Linked DNA regions of Caenorhabditis elegans. The protein of the gene in region 1 purifies or fractionates together with the protein of each later gene. This does not show direct contact. Each region holds a gene or a part of one and is shown on either strand. Other genes may lie near its edges.

The links.
Region 2: the proteins of ist-1 (region 1) and snpc-3.4 fractionate together in Caenorhabditis elegans (co-fractionation; one large-scale study listed by BioGRID). This does not show direct contact.

What each region holds. Positions count from the first base shown.
Region 1 is NC_003284.9:7,125,105-7,129,953, reverse strand, and holds the start of ist-1 (IRS-type PTB domain-containing protein), read right to left. Parts: upstream 3,304-4,849; coding exon 3,089-3,303; intron 1-3,088.
Region 2 is NC_003281.10:4,018,172-4,022,383, reverse strand, and holds snpc-3.4 (snRNA-activating protein complex subunit 3), read right to left. Parts: upstream 2,348-4,212; 5' UTR 2,225-2,347; coding exon 2,122-2,224; intron 2,077-2,121; coding exon 1,938-2,076; intron 1,887-1,937; coding exon 1,782-1,886; intron 1,737-1,781; coding exon 1,625-1,736; intron 1,577-1,624; coding exon 1,391-1,576; intron 1,333-1,390; coding exon 1,175-1,332; intron 1,129-1,174; coding exon 862-1,128; intron 794-861; coding exon 607-793; 3' UTR 501-606; downstream 1-500. Other genes in the region: tftc-5 (General transcription factor 3C polypeptide 5), read right to left, coding at 1-72, 118-213.

The DNA.
Region 1 (4,849 bases):
AAGATCAAATTACTGAGAATTATATCACGCATTCCAGTGCCTACTGCACATAACTTCTCAAGCTTCCATTAGTTGGAAAGATTAAAGCAGAGTTTAATTTTAAATAAAATTTGTAGTGAATGTTGGCAAAACTGTGTTTCCCGCGGCCAATAAAAACGTTGACAGGAAGCCAAACTACAATCGCAATCGGCAATCGCAGTTCAAACAAGTGAACGCGAGAAAGTATTACCACACGGTTAGGTCGGGTATGCCGAAATATAGAGAAAATAAAAGAGATAACAAGAGAAATAGACACAACAAGGCCGGGAAAGAAAATAAGCGGAGAAGAGCAGATGAACGGGAGGGCACGTGCGTCTGTGTTAGATTTTGAGAGACAACCTTGTTTTTCTCGGTTTTTTCTTTCATAGTGATGTTCGAATAGATGGCTTTGTTTTAAAACGAAGAGAAACTGCTTGGTCTCATTTTACTTTTGTGAAATACCTTGTGCGGGAGAACGGTTAAACATTTGAAAATGATGAGAAAGGTTAAAAATTCAATTTTGCTTAACAGATAATTGAATTGCTACTGAAAATCAAATAAATTAGAAAAATAATATTTTAGAGAACTCTTAGTAAAACATATTACAAAAGGGTACGATTTTTGATTTTATGAAAACCGAGAAATCAAAAAAAAAGTTGAAAAATTGTGAACTGAAAAACTGAACAAATGTAGAAAACATACAAAGCGATTTTTTTTTTCAATTTTTATTTTGAGCTTTAATAGCCGATTTTGACCGTTACCGGTGCCGATATACATAATACTGAAATGAATATATGGAAAATAGTTTGAAACCGAAATGCATTTGAAATAACACCGTGCCAATATTTTTTTATTGGCTTGGTTTTGGTTCCTCGCCGATTTTTGGTTATCAAAACAAGTACAATAAACAATTTCAAAGATCAACGGCCTAGAGAGGTGTGTTAGAAAATAAACGAAAAATGATGTTCGTTAGAGCAATGTTCAAATGTAGAAAAAATTCAAAGAAATTGCTAATTTGGCAAAAACAAAAACTGATGATATCTTACAAGACGTCACACACTATATGTTATTCATCCAACCCGAATCCTCGCATATCTCCCAAGCTTTCCATGACAACTAATCCGATTTATTCCTCATTTTCAACTGTTTTTTCCCCGATGCCAACTAATCATCCCACCTCATTCCCTCCATGCGATCAGATTAGGATGGATTAACCAAAGGTGGGTGAAAGAGCAATTGTTAGCTGCGTGAATAAGCTTTGGGAAGCCAAAAAACACTTTTGCTTACTCTCACTTGAAATTTCTATATGTCCTTCGTGCTGGGTCTCACATCCATTAAGTACGGATGGTGTTCTGAGAAAAGGAAAAAAGGAAATATAGAGTGTAAACAACAAGGGGTTCAAAATTAATAATAAAAGTTATCAAAACTTTTCTTAAACTCAAAATTTTGAAAACTGAGGAGATATATTTTTTTCTCTACATCTCAGATTTCTACTTGAATAGACCTGAAAAGCGTTTTCAGCTAGTTTTGCTCGGTCACCTGAGCATTGTGCAGTCATGCGAACACAATCGAGCTAACAGAAGAGATGTTACTTTACTGTACTTTAACAATAAAAATTCGGAAATGGTGAAAACAAAGTGCACTTGTTCCGAAAAGCAAATATTATGATCATCGAGACTATTTTCAAGTAAAAAAAGAATCAAGTGGAGCTGAAATCTACAAAACTAAAGAAAAATAATAGACAATGAAGAGAACCAAAAGAATGATAGAAAATATAGAAGTTAAGTTGTTTTAGTAACAAAATTATCAGCTGTAAAATAGAAAAAAAGAACATGCCCAAACTTTTAAGGCTCTTTTCATTGGGATGAGTCAAAAAATTGATGATAAATTTAAGATAAGGATATAGTCAGTGAAAGCAAAAGAGATAAGTATATTCTTAAGCTGTGAAACTAATCTTTTGAACTGAATGTCTGAATCAGTACTTGAGATTTAAAAATCTAGAGTCTGACAAAATAGTTATGATGATTTCTTAATAGATAGAGGATTTGCAATTTGTCGGTTACAAATGGCTGTAATAACTAACCTTTAACCTACTATTACTCTAACCTAACCTGTAACATTTGGAATATCAAACAAAAAAAACGAAAATGCAAGCACGTACCATTACAAAAATATATGTTTTACTGGCACATTGGATACATTTTTAAAGGTTACACACGATTTTTTATGAAATAGTGAACAAGGTCTGAAGCTTCAACTTAAAGGTTCAAAATCAGTTAAAAATTTGCTTATGAAAAATTGTTTTAACATCTTAATAAATTTTGAAAATTAGAAAAAAAAACATTTAGTTTCTCTCAGACTTTGATTTGAATAGAGCTCTCTCAAACTTGCCTTGTATTTTTCTATTATTTCTCAAGGCTGAAAAAATTTCTAATTAGTTAACATTTTTGTATTAAAATACTATTAAAAAAATTTAAAAAAATGATATTACAAAGTTAAGAGATTATTCAAGGGCGCTCTATTGTACATGGGTTATGGGTTTGGCGGAAATGAAAACAGTGAGTACTGAAGCATTTTTAGAGTTTCAGTTCTGAAAATATGAAATAAAACGTTTTATATTATTATTTCATCATCTTAGTATCACAGGAAAAGGGTTTCCCACATTTCACCAAGCTATTCCACGTTTTAAATTCAAATTGAGTATCCGGAATATGCATTTACCTCCTGAACAATAAAAAATTATTTTAAAATTTTAAAATTATTTTTTAATTACGCGAAAACTCAACTCTAATTTAACAATTTCTCTGGCTATTTATTTTAATTCCAGGGACTGCATGAAATTTCAGTTTCATTGAACTCAGTATAATCCTGGTAAAATAAAAATATGAAAAAACGTGAAGTTTATCACTTCCTGTAAAATTTGGAGACTATGCTCTATTTGATCTCTCATTTCCCTCATTTGATCACACTATCTTCTAACCGTGGGTCATGTGCAAGTTGTTTTTCACGTTTTTTTTGTCTTTCATCATAACGAAACCATATAATGTGACTGCAATGTACACAAAATTACCTTTTCAGTATTCCATCATTTTTTAAACCATCGAAAGATTCATATGGTCGCATTGATGATCGTCTGACTTGATGAGCATCATCCGTGGATTCAGCTCGTCGCAATATTCCAGGAAGCACATTTGATGATTGTTTTTCTGATTTAACCTCTCTATCATGCGGATGTTCTATAGGGGGTTTCCCAGAATTATCTGTAGATTCTTCTTCTTCAGACATTTTCTGAAAAAAATTGATTTTATTCTTGCGTACATTGCATCACAACAACAAAACAATAAACAGCGAACAAAATATTATCACCTTTCGGAATGAAGATAAGTGTCAAAGTGATTTGAACAGGAACATGCGATGTAAAAAGAAGATGAGAAATGTTTTGGTCGACAAAAAGAAAAAAGACGGGGCGGAGATTAGGAATGTTTGCGAGGACATGTGTAGGCAGAAAGGAAGGATACGAAGGTGACGCTTGTGCATTTTTTTTCCATTGCTGCTTAATTTTAGTCTTTCTGGAAGCGCATGGGCATATCACTAAAACATTATAACTTATTGGGAAACTTGGGGACACGTGGGTGGTTGGTTGCCGTGAAATCACTGAATAGAGAGACAAATCACCGGTTTATTGACTGTTTGTGTACTGAATCAAGCAGACAGTAGCACGAGTATTTTTTGATTGATTATGATTAGATTTGTGATTTTTTTTTTGAAAAAAAGTAATTAAACAGGTGTTTGAACACTATCGGTGTCAGTAGCTAAAAAGTTGGAAATTTTGTCAACTTTATCAAGAAACTATTAATGTTAACTTATATTGCTTCTATAGACAAAACTCAAATCAACAAAATTCGTAATGAACTTCTCAGAAAATTTTTTTTAAAAGTATGTCTTTTTAAAATTTCAAAATTCAAAACTGCCTAATTTTAGCTTGAATCCCTAAGGTTACCAATTCTTTCATGTTGCAGCGTTCGAAAATTAGCTGTTATACAAAAATTAGCTTTTATACACTAAATATTACAAGCGAAACTCATGCCAATATCCCTCCTTTAAAACAAAATGAAATTAGAATGTTTCGTTGTTTGATTGACCAGTACTCTTTTTTTTCAGTTTTTGGTTTTTTCAAAACAATTAAATTATTGAAATAAATCCACGTATTCTACTTTTTATTATGTGATATGTTTTTCCATTATTGCCATGACTTTTTATAATCCTATCTCCACTATATAAGGCGTCATAAGTCATGCTCACACCTCTGAATAAATGCCAAACGCTCAAAAACTTTTGGTAAACCACGTGAAATATCTGCTTCATCATGAAAGATTTGTTAAGAACTGAATGGATTAAATTGGTCTGATTTTTTTTGCAAAAAGTACTTTTGGCACGTGCAGATTCTTATTACAAAAGTGTTTTCTTGCATTCAAATTTACAGGCAAGTATATTCTTTTTCAATGCGAAAAAACTATGCAACACTGGCATGAACTGCAACTGAACCTACTTGACGTACTGATAAAACAACTACATCAACCCTCTTATCTAATTTTAAGAGATGATAAACAATTACTTCGCCCAACGAGAAAACTCAAATTAATTGTTGAAAACTTTTCAGAATTAATTTATTTTTGGGCTTTTTGAAAAAAAAAACCAAAATGAAGTACTGTAAAAATGCTATCAAGGAAATTATTGAAACATATACCTATACCTATAGTGCTAAAACGCAACAATCATTATAAAATTTTCAAAATTCTCTGAAAAGTTTTATTTTGATATTTGGTGTAAT
Region 2 (4,212 bases), on another chromosome or scaffold:
ACTTAATTCCAGTGAATGATTATTGAAGTGAGATTGACTGATTAGTTGGAGACCGCCCATCGTTTGAAGTGCCTGAAAAGAGACAATTTATTTGCTGAATACCGTATGTATTCCAACCTTATCAACATTTTTGACAATTCCTGGATATTTGATTAGGACCAGCTGCTGCGGCTCCTCGCGTTTTTGTTGTGTGAAATTGAGAAAATCGTTCATTTTTCCTGAAATAAGTTGTTATTCTTTAAGGTGGTCTAAATATTTGATAAAGATTGCAAATATTCGAAATAAATTTAAACGGTTGAATTAATTTCGAATTGCCGCATAAGTTCCGAGTTGCGTATTGTGCGTCAAAACACGCTTCTTAATTTAATTATACGAGTAAAAGCGTGTTTCGACGCACAATACGTATACGCCTGTCGAGTGAATTCAATAGTTTTAAAAACTCAAATTTAAATATATAAAAATGGTTTACAAAACCAATCAGATGAAATCCAATTAAAAAAGAACAATAAAATTTTTAAATGTCCAGCATTTCCTTTTTTCTATAAAAAATACCAGTAAAAACATAAAGTTTTTGCAAAATAAATAGAAATAAATATCAAAATTATTTCAATCATCTTCTTGTTCAAAATCTCCAAACGGCCATCCTCTTTGCTCTCCAGTCTGTAGTTCTGTATACGGCCAAGCAATGAATGAATGCGTCTTGACACCATGCACATAGTTGAACTCCTGGAAGCATGTCCTGCAGAAGTGTGTGTAGGTGTTGGGAAGAAGCTCGTGGCGTTCGACGACGAATCTGGAAATGTAAAATTTTAAATTAATTTACTTTGAGGAAAAACAATAATTTTTGCGAATTAAACTTACTCCACATGCCCTTTTTTACAAATATCACATTTCTTTTCATTTCCCTTCTCGTATAAGGTGAATGGATATTTATCGATTCCCCACGGGTCCGATTCATGAAGAAGTCGCAAATCATGAAAAACGAGTAGATGTTCACAATTCCCAGAATGCTGGAATATGTACGGCTGCCCTAGACGCAGCTTCAGGTCAATAATTCTGACTCCTTCCATACTACAAGCCTCCACTGGATCATAAATCTCGCGGTGAAGCATAAAGTTGCGGATTGGGCTGAAAAATGTTTTTAAACATTTTTCTAAAGAAAATTACTAATTACTGTGAAATGTCAATTGCATTGGGTGGCATATCCACATAAAAGGTATCATGAACAAATATAAATGATGATGGAAATCGAACTGCGGTTGCATTATCCAAATTCGGTGGATCCAGCTCCAAACCATTCTCCAATGGAACAATTGTATCACTTTGACATACCTGAAAGTTTAAAAAAAATTAAATATTTAATGTGTGTTTTAAATTCAAAAAATCATACAAATTTCTGCCGTAAATCCGAAAGAAGGGTGTCTCCACGAACAAGAAACTTGGTCATTGGCTTCAAAAGTCGCGAGCTCCGAAGTTCAGAAGATAAAAGTTCTCGATTGTATGGCATCAGTGCATCAACGATAAGGACAATGTCATCTTCACATTTCTCTAATATTGAACATTGAGGATGGAAAAGCTGGAAAAATTATTTTATAAAGATTTTTATTTTTATTAATTAATTTACAGAAGTATTTGCTCCGGCGTTCAACATGTATTTGTCATATTTCAGTGACGTGACATATGCGGACTTCCGCTGCCTTGAAGTTTTCATAGTCTTTTCTCGACTTATCACATGTCTGAAAAATTATAGTTTTTGAATAAAAGGTTTAAATAATATTTACTTGTGGGAAACTAGCGGTGATCGTTCGAGGAACTTGCGATCCCCCTTCATATCTTCAAATCGTCGAGTTTGAACGTCTGATGACCCCTCCAGAAACATATCGAGGCTGAAAATCAATAAAATTAGTTGTTTTTCGATTTTTTGAAATTTACTTTACTTTGAAACTTCTTCAATAGCTTCCAATGATTCTTCTTCTGTTACTCCTTGAATATAAGACAGACTGTTCTTCCACATTTCCATTTCATGTTCTTTTTCGGTTTTTGAATCGAAATCGTCCATTGTTCTATCGATAATAACTGAAAATTCGACAATATTCGATTGTTTTAAGATAATAAACTAACCTTCTCCCAACTCTCGAACTTCCAGCATCTCTTCCTTCACTGTGGCTAAATTGAGCAGTGGAGAAATATACCATTGTTCATCAGAATTGAACTTTCTGTCCATTTATTTAAAAATTGAATTCAAACAGTTATACGGAGGAGAAAGTTGGATAAAAGAATTCGAAAAATTGCTTTTTCAAAAAAAAAAACAATTTTCTGGAGGGGTACGGTGTACAACGGTGTTTGCACAGTTTATTGTACACCGACGCGCAATAATGCACATTTGTGTGCGCGGGAAATTTTGTTGGGCGGCAAATTTTGAATTTTAGGCCTCGAACATTCCCTCTTTTTGTCATTCTCATCTTCATTCGCTACTTTTTTTTGCAATTTTTTGCCTAAAACGCTTTCAAGCTACTTCTGCATCGTTTCGCGCTTTAAATTTGCAAATGGTCTGTCCTAAAACGTTCTGCCCCTCATTTTAGCTTCCTTTTTCTGTTCCATTTCCTGTGAAAGGTGACTCATTCATAAACTATTCCCTTCTCAGCGGTTTAGGAGACTGGGGAAATTGTAATTTTGTAGTTTTATTCGTGATTGATGCATAAAATTGCATAAAATAGGCCGCCATAATCTTTCTTGAAGGTCAGCCACCGTGTTTATCTGATATATAATTATTATGTCCTTGCTGCGATCAGCTCAACCGGGCGCAATAGGCGGATACCATTCATCATTTTCGACATGTACAAGTACTTCTCGTGTAACATATTTGCACAGCTTGTCATGGTTTCTGGTTATTCGGGTCATTTTAGTATCTGTTCCATTATAATTTCCCCAAAAAACTGTTTGCTGTTTGTTTCTGTTCTTATCATTTCCCTAGATTGCGTGTTATCAGCTCAAATTCTTCTGTTGTTTCTACTTTTCGGCGCCGAATGAATCACAGAAATAGAATTTCTCTTTGCAACTGATTAATATTTTGAGTTCCACTTTTTCAGTTGGCTAGTTCCTTAACTTCGTAAGCCAGGCGCGTCGTCTTTTCAAATTGCTAGATGGATGGGCACATTTTTTGAAATGCCTCGCCTGTGGCGGGTTGGTAAGGGACACCGCTGTCGCCCGTTGGTCAAGGCCGTCACAAAGCATTCGCGTCCCTGTCCATCCGAAACATAGAGGGCGCGGAGAGAAAAACGACGGGAGAAGGGAGGGAAGCACGGGCGGCGCCAGTCTCTATGTTTCTCGCTTGGTATAATGTGTCTCATCGACAACGGAAAGTGGGGGTAAGAGTAGAGCTCTTTTTCGTCCCCAGCGCCGACACACGACCCTTAACTCGACTTTTTTCGTCAGTTATTTCTTGGAATTTTTTTTTGAAGCTTCCCGTTGATTTGGATTGTATTTTAAAATCGTTATCCAACCAGCAACTGATCTAGATAGTACCCATTAACATTGTCTCCTGGCGCGTGTACTACGGTAATTGACCTTTCTCTGACTGGCTGCATGTGTGACGAAGTATTGGCTGCATATGTATCGTATTGTATAGGCGACCCCAAGCCGATTGTCACTGCCACGTCATCTCCGTTTCTCTTTTCTCCGCAATTCTCAATTCACCACCACCGCAGCCGTCAACAGGGGTACGATTTCCATCGCATTGAACTAGTTTTTGTCCCTCGTTTTTCTTCACGGTTCGTCTTCATCTCTTTTATTCTGAAGGCTTTTCAAAGCTGCAGGCCCCCAGCACATTTCATTCGGTTCCCATAGGATTACTGCGCGCCAAGCGGCATCTCCCTCTCTACCCCAAACCAATAGCACCAAATTGCACCCGATGAAAAGCCATCTGTGTCGTGTGCTCTATCTCCTTCTGCCAAACCTAGTGGTGACACGCAAAACAAATGGATTAAGCAAAAAGAGAGGGAATTGATGGACATTTTGTGTATGTTTCGCAATAGATTTGCCTCTGCTCTCTTCCTCTTCACCCATTCTACCCATATCTGCATATTTCGCAATAGTCTATTCGATTTCACCACCCTTTGCAGTCCAACAACGACTGCTGCCCCAGTGGCCACTGCGGTTTTTAATGCGAGCGGGCGCCGCGCGCCCCGTGTTCTCGCGATTATCGATCCGAAT